Linked DNA regions of Coturnix japonica. The protein of the gene in region 1 purifies or fractionates together with the protein of each later gene. This does not show direct contact. Links are inferred from orthologs where the notes say so. Each region holds a gene or a part of one and is shown on either strand. Other genes may lie near its edges.

What was found. The genes of interacting proteins can lie anywhere in the genome.
Region 2: the proteins of PRKCZ (region 1) and PARD6G purify together in Homo sapiens (affinity purification with mass spectrometry; 6 studies listed by BioGRID and IntAct, counting the BioPlex papers as one, with this or other methods). This does not show direct contact. The link is inferred for Coturnix japonica from reciprocal best matches to the Homo sapiens genes PRKCZ and PARD6G.
Region 3: the proteins of PRKCZ (region 1) and NIPSNAP2 purify together in Homo sapiens (affinity purification with mass spectrometry; 3 studies listed by BioGRID and IntAct, counting the BioPlex papers as one, with this or other methods). This does not show direct contact. The link is inferred for Coturnix japonica from reciprocal best matches to the Homo sapiens genes PRKCZ and NIPSNAP2.

Annotation. Positions count from the first base shown.
Region 1 is NC_029536.1:1,535,548-1,539,060, forward strand, and holds part of PRKCZ (protein kinase C zeta type), read right to left. Parts: intron 2,676-3,513; coding exon 2,578-2,675; intron 2,057-2,577; coding exon 1,970-2,056; intron 1,527-1,969; coding exon 1,391-1,526; intron 1,028-1,390; coding exon 940-1,027; intron 409-939; coding exon 289-408; intron 1-288. UniProt on the Homo sapiens protein: Calcium- and diacylglycerol-independent serine/threonine-protein kinase that functions in phosphatidylinositol 3-kinase (PI3K) pathway and mitogen-activated protein (MAP) kinase cascade, and is involved in NF-kappa-B activation, mitogenic signaling, cell proliferation, cell polarity, inflammatory response and maintenance of long-term potentiation (LTP).
Region 2 is NC_029517.1:80,911,811-80,915,793, forward strand, and holds the start of PARD6G (partitioning defective 6 homolog gamma), read right to left. Parts: upstream 2,811-3,983; 5' UTR 2,767-2,810; coding exon 2,695-2,766; intron 1-2,694. UniProt on the Homo sapiens protein: Adapter protein involved in asymmetrical cell division and cell polarization processes. May play a role in the formation of epithelial tight junctions. The PARD6-PARD3 complex links GTP-bound Rho small GTPases to atypical protein kinase C proteins.
Region 3 is NC_029534.1:3,695,153-3,699,181, forward strand, and holds the start of NIPSNAP2 (protein NipSnap homolog 2), read left to right. Parts: upstream 1-1,219; 5' UTR 1,220-1,323; coding exon 1,324-1,409; intron 1,410-3,193; exon of another isoform or gene 3,194-3,230; intron 3,231-3,919; coding exon 3,920-4,029. UniProt on the Homo sapiens protein: Protein involved in mitophagy by facilitating recruitment of the autophagy machinery required for clearance of damaged mitochondria.

The sequences.
Region 1 (3,513 bases):
GTGAACCTGTCATTTATAGCATAAATAGGGAATAGTCAGATTTCTATCTGTTTTTTGACATGCTTTTATCATCTGTAGAAAGGTTCCTAATTCCAGGCTATTTCATCACAGTTCAATAAAATAAATACCTAGGATGAAACCTTAAAAATACTTCATATATTATAGACCTGCTAGCAACTGTGAGATAATACAAGGAAAGGAAAAGAGAAGGTAATTCTAAGTATCCTACTGCAATTCTTAATTTTCATCATTCCTCCCCCCAAGAGAAATCATAGAAAAAAACAATACCTTGGAAGAGGTAATCTTCAGTGTTCATGTCTGGATTGTCAGTAATGATATCAAATGGAGACCTTCCTGCCATCATTTCAAACATCAATACACCAAGAGCCCACCAGTCCACGCTGAACCCTGTCAATATTTACACAGCAGATTTTCAGCTGCTCCTCAAATGTCAGAGTTCTCATCATGTGAGGATTAATGCCCTGGTCCTACACAATCAGTATTGCTGGATAGAACTTGACAGGAATTTGGGCCACATAGGAAACCTGTACAGATTCTGTAGGTACCCATACACAACCCAACCTACTGATCAGATCAGTTTATAACCACAACACTAATTAAGATTACAGTTCTGACTTCTGCATAAACAATGAACTTAGTCACAGCATTCCATAACCTTGCCTGGGGAACAATAGCAGTTGGGATGTCAAGTACATCAAGGGTTGGGGCTTGATTTTGATACAGCAACACTGCATTGCTCAGGGAAAGTAGGATTTAAAACTAGCCAAAATGAATGACTTCTAAAATCAAAAGGCTGGGTTTGTTTTACATATAGGTGGAAAAAAAAGAAATTCAGTAACAACAGTATTTGAACAAAGCTACAACTCTAACTTGGTTTTGCGCTCAGTTATAACATCAATCTGTTCAGTCTCAGCTTACCATATTCTTCTCCTCTTAGGATTTCTGGTGCAATGTAATTCGGTGTTCCACAGAAAGTGCTCGTAGTGTCACCAGGGCCCAATCCTTCCTACATACATAAAACAGTTTAAAACATTTTAGTAGTTTACTTCTACTTTTGAGATAGAAAACTGAACAGAAGAAACAAACTCAGTCAAGGTCAATTTCTTTCCTGCAAAGCGATCAGCATAAGAAACACGAAGGATGAAGTTACAAATCTGGTCCTATGCTTCAGTTAATTTGCAGCATTAAGTTGCTATTCCACAACCAAATTCTGGGCTCAATAACACTGGTGTTAAGCAAAGGGTAACTTCTGTCACTTTTCCCTTGCTATCACTAGGTATGGTGCTGGGCTTAAAAGCTTGACCAGAGAAATACACTACAGAGAGACCAAAAAAGAGAAGGGAAAAATAGAAAGGAAAGGAAATTCTACCTTGCACATGCCATAGTCTGTTAATTTGATATGACCCTCTGCATCTAGAAGAACATTGTCTAGTTTTAAATCTCTGTAGATTATGCCTCTTTCGTGTAGGAAGTTCAGAGCAATACAAATTTCAGCAGCATAAAACCTGAAAATAAAAGAGGAATATCTTAAAGATGGTACAAAACCAGTTTGTCTCTGTGACAGAATACTGAAAAGTAGCTCCATTTGTTCACAAAGGTATTGAACTTACATTGTAAAGCCATTCCTTTAAGAACAGCAAATGTAATTTTGAATTCTATTCATCATCTATCAGCATATCAAAGAAACGTTAACTGAACATGGAGTGGTAAATAAAAATACACAGGAATAGTTTGCCAATTCTCAGTTGTTAGCTTGTTTTTTAAACTATCACATATACTTCTAAAAACAGTTAACGTTTCTTACCATGGAACAACATTCTAATCCTCAAAAATAACCTTCTGTTTCCTCTTGGCTATTCATATTCTCTTAGAGAATAAGCTTCCAAAAGCATCTCATACAACATGACATAACAGAAGGAAAACCACAACAGCTGGATTAGTGAAATACCTAGCATGCTCCTCTGGCAGTTTTCTCTGTCTCTGCATGTGAAACATCAGATCTCCTCCATTTACATACTCTATGACAAGAAATAATCTGAAAGTATATAATAGAATTAATGGCTTCCAAGCAAATTCTCAGTAGGAAGAAAACTTTCTATTCTTCCAATCTGAGCCATTTTCACTTCCACTCTTGAATCTGACTTTCGTGTTTCTTATGGTTACCACAACTACTTAAGATTAGGAAAGAGGACAAAAGAATCCTTATTTGACCCGTATTAGGCAGGAGCACATTCTTTATTTAAAAGCAAATAAAAATGAAGAAGCCAGACTAAACAGGAAGAAGCCATTTCATTCAAATATCCACTATGTGCTGTGAAATGTGTAGCACTATCAAAAACAGTACAAAATACAGCAGTGCTTGATTAATATAACGGGCAGGAAATCCCTGCATTTTGCTCCACACTGCACTAAGTTACACCCTCTGAACTGGCGTTGGTGGAGCAATGGAACCCTTCCAAAGCTTTCTGACTGCCACAACAGTGTAATATTCCCTTTACGAGAAGCAGTCAGTACAAGGATCACTGTTTTCAAAACAAGATTTCAGATCTTTCTTACCGACTTGTTGTTTGAAAGCAGGAATGTAAACCAACTAGGAATGGGTTGCTGGATGCCTGTTCAAACACATGTTTCTCTGTCTGTACCCAATCAATATCCTGAAATAGAATAATTGAACAATCAGAACTTCTACCCAATAACCACCACAAACATTCCCAGAAAATATATTGTTTACATCTAAGCTCCCTTGTATACAGTGTTCTCACATATGTCCTTAAGAAATCTGGAGGAAAACATAAAACACTTCAGCTCAATTATTCAGTGTGTTTAAATAACTGAGCTTCGTTTGCTTATCTGATACTTGAAGTTAACTAATGAAGTTACCAAAATGTGATGAGTTTGTCCAACCAAAATCATCCTTAGTTGTATCACAAACTGCCTTTAATACTTCAACAGAAGTTCTGACTACACACTGCAACACAATATAAGAATGTAACAAACTCTGACTGATTCTAGTGAAATATTGCTTTATTATGGATCTGAGTTTTGCATTTCATCAATTTTCTTATAAGAAATTAAAACCTTATGGACAACTGGTTCTAGCAGTAGATACAAGACATTATACAGATCACACTGCACTCTGAACATTCAGTAACTTGCCAACAAACAAGGAATGTAAGTAGTAGAAATAGAGAATTATTAACAGACACTTCCAGCTCTCCAACCAATTTGGAGACAACAAAGACAGATGCTGAGACATTCAATGAATGATTTCACCTTTACAAGATCCCAAACTGAACTCACCACATTTGTACACACATAGTACACTAATACTGTGTTAGTTTACCAACGTTAACAGGATAAGTCTAGAAAAATTCACGTTCTTCCAGTATCTTCTGGTTTCACAGTTCATACACCTATTCAGACGTGCTGCCACTCCTGCACATCATGTCACACTGCAGTGTGCCACCAAAGCTGGCAGCCTGACAACGTATG
Region 2 (3,983 bases), on another chromosome or scaffold:
GACTTGTTGGATGGAATTTCAAGCAGATCAGGAATTCCTAAGTCCCTAGGATAAAAGTGACCACAAAAGCAGGGGTGAGAACCTGGAGGTGGATTGAAGCACAGGAGAGTATGGGAAATACCATAACACAAGGCAGCAGGACAGTTCTCTTCAACGTTTCGAAGCTCAAAACCAGCAGTTCAAACACCTGGTCATAGGATTTTTCGCAGCACTTGTTTTCATTGCATTCTAGGTACGATAAATACGAACCTAACTTGGAAGAAACTAAAGTACTACTTAAAAACACAAACCTTTTTAAACATACAGGGTTTTCGGCTGAACACCAACATTCACTGGAACAAAGCAGAAATTAGGTGGGAGAAGAGAGCAAAGGAAATACAGTTATGGTTAACTAGTATGTTTATCTTAACGGGCTTGTTTACAGTAGGAGGATGTTAGTCACGTTGTTCATTTGTCTATCAGTTTGTAGTACAAGAAAACACGACACTATTAACATGGCAGCAGTGTCAAGGACTAGCACCAAGCATCCAAACCAGCACCTGAGTCAGGCAGCTGTACTTCCATAGTCCTCAACTACTGATCAGAGTTCTCAACAGCAGCTAAACAAGATGGCTTTTGTAAAGGATTATTTCTTTTCTGGCATCTAAGAGTGTGTTTTAAAACCTGAAAAAGAATTCTTATCAGTATATACAACTTAGAGAAAATAAAGCAATTTTTCAATTGGAGGAGGGTGAAAGAAGATGGACTACACAGAGCTGTAATTAAAGAGGAAGTCTCAGTATTAATGCAGGAATTCCTATTTTATAAGTCCTGGTTCTTCTATAGGTTTACATTCACAAAGAGAGGGGCCTTCAACCTCTCAGTAAAGCTAGAGAAAAACGAAGACTAGAAGAATAGGTTTGTGATCTAGTGCCAACAGGAAGGATTCTTAATAAAACAAGAATCCCCACGCGTTGTTTGCTCTGGAAATCTTGGTAAATGGGAGAGAAAGAGTCATCTGGAAACCTTTTTTTAGAGATTAGAGGTGATTTCTTCAAAGGGAGCAGCCACACCACTTGTCACCAGACTGGGCAAGTATGAGACATAGGAGAATACACGGCTCTTTCAGGCCTGCAAGATAAAGTGGCTTCAGATCCTGTCTAAAAAGGCTGAAACATTTATTTTGAGCGACAGGGACAACACCTAGATAACAACTGAGCTTCTAATTTACACTGTTGAGAAACACTCGAGAAGAGAAAAGGGAGAAGACATAATTACAATTCAATTATTATTTTCCTTTGACATGTGCCAATTTCTAAGCAGGTTTCTCCTTCCTCTCCCACCCAGCAATAAGCTTGCAAGTGCTTTGATTATAAGGCCGGCTTCAGGGGCGGAGATGGGGGCAGGACAGGCCTGAAGGAAGACGGCTCCCTAAAGCACAAGACTCTGCAATTGCAATTACAGTTACTGCCATGTTTGAGAGCAGACACATGCACAGGGCTCATATTCCCTCCTCCCCTTCGGGACCTACTGCAACTCAGTGACCAGGAGACTTCTAAAGCACCTTCCATCTGCCCAGAGAAAAAAAGCTGGCCTGATGCACAGCGGAAGCCATTTCCACATGGCGGCCTAACGCATTACACACTTAGCTGGGTGTAGGCAGGAAATCACCTGGCTATCACACCATAGGCTAAATAAATAAATAAATAGAATTTTAAAAGTCAAGCTTGCAGCCTGTACGACTCCCCACAGCTCCTCCAGGTCTGACTCAACCCACAAGGAAAGGAATGCCCCGCTCCAAGGCAGTGCTTCCACTGGGCCCCTCCACCACAAAGCCCACCCCAGCCCTATGAAGCCCCCCAGCTGGTGGCTGCAACATGGTGCCCAGCAGCACCCAGCCAAGGCCCGACAGGCACCAACCAACAGTACGCAGACTCAACTTTCTGGTTTTCTGGCAGGCTGGGGCAGGCCTCGTGCTTGCAAAACAGAGGCAAGTAAGTACGTAGGTGCTCCCAACAGCAGTTGGAGTCTAGTCCTGCACAGCCCCTCATGTAGCAGCACCGACCAGAGCTTCTTGCTGGCTCTATCCCTACCACAGGACAGTGCTGTAAGAGGGACCCCATGGGCTCTATGCACAGCAGGAGTGAGCACCAAGTAGCTCCTTCTCACTGCCCACACAGTGTGTGCTCACAGCCCCCTAACGCCCTGCACCTACACAGGGCAGGGTGCAGGACCCTATGGACCGCTGCAGCTGTAAACAAGGCTCCGAGCCTTTATTATAGGACTCTTTTAAAGCTGTTATTAAGGCAATGGATACGTTAAGTTGAAGGAAGAGTGCACACATCCATTCTTACCAACAGCCAGTACTCCAGACCGGAGCTTATGTGTTTCGAGCACCACTCAGCACTCACAGAACAGGACCACAACTCGCCATGAGCGCAGGGGCCGCATCCCAACCCGGGAGCAGCTCAAGCCCGGCTGTGGGAGCAGGACGGACATCAGTAACCCCGCATCATTTATTTCAGTGGCACTGAGGAGCCGAGGAGCCCGTGCAGCTCCCCGCGCTGCCCCGCCGAGAGAGCGGCCGGCGGCGAAACAAAAGATCGAGCGGCGGCCACGGGCACGGGGCCCCTCGCGCCCGCCCGCACCGCCGGGAACGGAGCCCTCGAGTACCCGCCCTCAGCACCCCGGGCCGTACGGCGAGGCCGCGCTCACCTTACTCTTCACTTCCACCGCGCTGCATTCCAGATACCGCAGAGTCTGAGATTTGTTGAAGCTCCGGTTCATCTTCCGCGCCGCTGCCGCCCCCCCCGTCTTCTCCTCCTCCTCCTCCTCCCCCCGCCGCCCCGCGGCGCCCAACTCCGCTCCGCTCCACGCCGCTACGGACACTTTGTCCCGGCGCGCCAATGAGAGCGGCCGCAACACCGCGATCGCGATCCGGCTGCCGACAGCAGCGCGGCCCCGTCCGCGGCGGGGGGACGGGAGGACACGCCCACTAACCGCGTGGCCGCGCCCACTCGGCGCTGTGTGCCCGCCCTCATGGTGTAGGGTGGCGGGCAGCGGCTGTTTGATCCCATTGGGACCTACTGCAGTGATAGCATTGAGCTTAGTTTGGCACTAATAGTTCCCCTGTCCTATCACTCTGTGTGCCCCGGTGGCGCAGTGGTAGGAATGCTGCTTTGCAACACCGCAGGCCCTGAGTTCGAATCCCCCTTTGGCGCAAGTGGTAGAAGTGCCGCTCTGCTACACAGAGGCTCGAATCCCGGGGGTTGGACTCGATGATCTCTAGGGTCCCTTCCAACCCGCACGAGACTGTGATACTATGATCACTGTCCTAACACTGCTGAAGAATCCGTCCCCTTCTTTCTCACTGCTTCCCCCTTCTGATAGTAAAAGGCCACTCTCGGGTCTCACCTGATTCGTTGCCACAGACCATTGGGATTAACACAACCTTCAAGTTGCTATAGCTCAAATAGCACGGCAGAGTTTCCCTGAATATTGTATGATTTATGGCTTGATAGTAAGATTATAGATTGACTTACAATAAAGAGGGAAGGGAAAAGGGAAGGGAAAAGGGAGGGAAGGGGAGGGAGGGAAGGGAGGGAGGGAGGAAAGGAAGGAAGGAAAGGGGAGGGAAGGAGAGGAGAAGGAAAGGAAAGGGGAAGGGAAGGGGAGGGAAGGGGAGGGAGGGAGGGGAGGGAAGGGAAAAGGGAGGAAGGGAGCGAAGGGAGGGAGGGAGGAAAGGAAGGAAAGGGGAGGGAAGGAGAGGAGAGGAGAAGGAAAGGAGAGGAGAAGGAAAGGAAAGGAGAAGGGAAGGGAAGGGAAGGGAAGGGAAGGGAAGGGAAGGGAAGGGAAGGGAAGGGAAGGGAAGGAAGAAGCTGAAATGTGGGTTTTGGTCAGTTTCTCATCTAAATACTCAAGAGGTTTTCAGCCTGATGTGGGATGCAGCAAACTGGAACGAACAACCTGAGGCCATTCCTTCTCATGCTATCACTATTACCAGG
Region 3 (4,029 bases), on another chromosome or scaffold:
TGGTGAAACCTGTAGTCAAAATATAAGTAGCAAATGTAGTTGCTTCTAAGAACAGGATGTTCCAGATGGGAAAAACTTGGTGCCTCAGATGAAACTATGGAAAATGTGAGTTAAATGTTAACGCTTTGTTTTGTTGCATGTAGTTCTGCCCAAAGCCTTGACACTTTCCAAAGCCAGCTGCTCACTTGAAATGACTCTTGTTATACCGAGAGATGAAATTACTACCATATGTGGTAGGAGAGTCATTCTATTTTAATTGTTCTGTATTTCAGGCCATCTTTTGTGATTTGTAGGCTTTAAAATGCTATTAAACCTTTTGAAATGAAGTTTAGGAGCTTTACAAGGAGCTTACCTGCATGTGTGCTCAGTTTCTCTGTGAGTTCCTCCTGCCACCACTGTGTTAACTTCTAAGATCTGATGGAATTACAACCACTTGCCTTTATTATGGCAGTAAAGTGAGAATGTTTGGGTAGCTTAGCATTGCTGCTTGTAGCCTGTCCAAAGAGCATTTAGATCTGAGAGAGATGGATCTCTTGATGGGAAGATGGAAGTTTATAAGAATATGGTCTGACTCATTGCAGCCTTTCAATACCTGAAGGGAACTTACTCCCAGGAGGGGGAGTAAACTCTTGGAAAGGGCTGACAATAGCAGGACACGGGGAAATGGTTTTAAGTTGAAAGAGGGAAGATTTAGGTTGGATGTCAGGGGGAAGTTCTTCACTAGGAGAGTGGTGAGGCCCTGGAACAGGCTGCACAGGGAGGTTGTGGATGCCCCGTCCTTGGAGGTGTTCAAGGCCAGGTTGGACGGGGCCATGGGCAACCTGATCTAGTAAAGGTGTATGTTTGGTGGCCCTGCCAGGCAGGGGGTTGGAACTACATGATCCTTGAGGTCCCTTCCAACCCGGGGCATTCTGTGATTCTGTGACTTTGGGAAGGCATCTTTAATCCGGGGCTGTAGTTCTGTTGTTGATCTGTGTGTTGAGGTGGTTGATGTAGGTCATTAATTACAGCTGGCTGATTAAGACCTGCAGCTGAGTGGAAGGAATGTGGGCTCTTAGTCAGGTGAATATACATCGTGCATCTCCATCCCCAGCACAGGAACGGAACCGTTCGGCCCGACTCGCTGTTTCGTGGGACCCCGACCCCCCAGCGGGAGGCGGGCTCCAGGCTCGGGCCTTCCGCGCATGCGCACTGCTGCTGCCACCGAGGCGTGGCTGGAGGACCCCCCTCACCCCGCCGCCATTTTTGCCCCCTCTGCCGGCGGCGGCGCTACAGCGTTACCAGCCCCAGAGCCGGCCCAGGAGGGAGGCGGCCGGAGCCAAGATGGCGGCGCGTGTGCTGCTGAGGTGGAGCCCGGCGGGAGCGGGCGCGGGGCCGCGTCTCCCGTCAGGCGGCGGCCTGACCCTCAGGTGAGCATTGAGGGGGGCGAGGCGGGCGGGAGAGGGCGGCCCAGGGAGAAGGGGGAGGCGGGGGAGGGAGCAGCCGCCGCCCGCTCGGATCCCACTGCCACACACGCTCGGCCTCCCCTCTCCCGTCTGGAAATGGCGCCCCTCTGTCGCTGAAGGGCCGCAGCCGGGCCCGCCGCCTCATGTAGGGCGGGGAGTGCGGCCATGGGGCGTCCCTCAAGGTCACGGGCAGCGAGGCCGGACCCCTCCCCCGAGTCCGCCCAGGGGTGGGGATCGCGTCAGGAGCGCGGCCAGCGCCGCGTCGGGCCCTCGGGGTTAGAATGGGCAGCACCTCTGTGTGTCCTCCACACATCCTCGGGGTTACAATGGGCAGCAATGCCCGTGGGGTTAACGCTGCCAGCAGCTTGTTGAAGCAGGTGCACACAGTGTTGTACTTATTGAGTTCCGAATCAGCTTTGACGTCTGTTTAGCAAATTAAAAAGTGCCTGTTACAGACAAGTTGTTTTTCTTTCTCTTGCAGGCAGACATTGATTACTACTGAATCTATATATTTCACCTGATACCTCCCACTCTACCCACTTTATATTGTATGCTAACGCAAAAGGCAGATGGAAATGTCCTCAGCAGCATTGTTAATTTAATATGACCAAGTTATTCATTGTTCTCCTCTTATGGTCTCAGCCCAATCTTTGTAGCAAGAAATCTGAGCCTTTAGATAACATTTGCAGGACAAGCATTGGCTAGCAAAGTTAAGCAGTGCCTTAAAAGGTTGCATGAAAACTCTTTAATAAGCATCATTCCTAGAAAATAAGAAGTTGTGAGCCGTGATGGTAATTCCCTATAGTGTGTACATTCCCTATAGTGTGTACATATTCATTCTGAGCATTCTGGCTCTTCTTGAGGTGACTATGGGCACAGGTGGCCCAGGCAGGTGAGCTGGCAGTCAGCTTAGTGCATTTTGGTTTGTGGGTGTCCAGATGGACACCAGTAGTGTATCTCAAGGGATATGGTGGTGAAAATTAAGGCTGTAGACACTCAGTGTGTCTCGTCTGAGATGCTGTTTTAATCAACTTCAGCAGTTACCATACTTTATTGTAAGTAAAGTAAACATTTAGATGGCTAGTTGTGGTATATTAGTCCTTGTTGATACGGAACTTTATAGTTCCTGAGTAAATGATTGCATAATCATCTGTAATACTTGTTTTATTCCTCATAGAAGAGCGTTCTGAATGGGAGAATATACCAGTAGTGTACAGGATGATAGAACAGGCACTGCAGGGCTGAAATGGAGTCGTACCTCCTGGAGCCCAGTTCTGTGTCTAGTAGGTGTGTTGTCACCTGTGCCTCTCTCCTCCCTCAGTTGAGATCAAACCTCTCCTCCTGTACCACCCTCTTCTGGCAACAGCTGTATTGACTGGACAGGAATGTGCTTGTATGTTTGTTTAGGGCTGAATAGACCCCTGTGTTCAATAAATAAGACAAAATACCAATTACTTCTTAGCATCAAAATTTGTCTTGGCTGTGGTTGTTTTGGTTCTTACTATTTCTTTGCTCTGAAATACTTCTCAGTTCATCTGTTCTGCTTCCACAGGGTATCCCAGTTCATTAGGTTTTCAGATGTTGATTGTTGAGGAGTGCTGCTGGTGCGAATTCCTTCTGTGTAATACAGACAATTGTGTTCTTTGAGATTTATTTTTTTTTCCACCAAAAGAAGTTGATATTTTCTTCTATTTTTTTCTTTTCCTTTGAGGAATTGTCAGAAAGTTTTGATACTGGAAGAAAGCTTTGTATCTGAAGATCGAAACCTGGCATCTGGATCTCATAGTCAGTGGTGCAGGGTATTAAGTTGACTTCTGAGATAGAAAATGGTTTAAATTTCCACCTGGGCTGCTGGTTCCTTAGTACTTCAGATAAATAGTTTAATATTTCAGCAGAAACTCTATATCATAAAGGGGTGGACTGAAGGAAGTGCTTCCTTTGAGTAAGAAGAAAAAGCATTCAAGCTTGGGGCATAAAGATTCAGTTAAATACCATAGATGTGTCACTTAACTTTTCCTTTCCAGGGCTGTATTTAAGCATACATAGGAACATATGGCACTTATTTACACTGTACAAATCTTTCCTTATGCCACTTCTTGCTCTTTTTCATTCCCGTCTGTATACATCAAGACAGACCTTGGGCAAATACACTTAATTAAAAAGAATATAAAAAGACAACAAAAGCAGCCACCTACCCATTTCTTGCATTGCTTACAAAGAATGAGAGCAGAGAGAGCGTGGTTAAGTGTTCAGCTCTGTATCACATAAAATGGTTTGTGAGGAGGTAAATCCCAGTGTGAAAAGAGCTGCCTTTACCTTGCTGCCAAGTGGCTCAGTGGAAAGACTGAGGGACAGAGCTGGGTGTAACTGTTATAATTTTGTTTGTATTATACTTGATTGTGCCCGTCTTCCCTGCGTTGTGGGCATTTTCAAGACGTGCTCAGTGACAGTGTAATGTACTTGTTAATATGTAGGGGGATGGTATCTTCAGCTAGCAGACCTCGTGAAGACAGTTGGTTAAAATCGCTATTTGTTCGCAAAGTCGATCCAAGGAAAGATGCTCACTCCAACCTTCTAGCCAAAA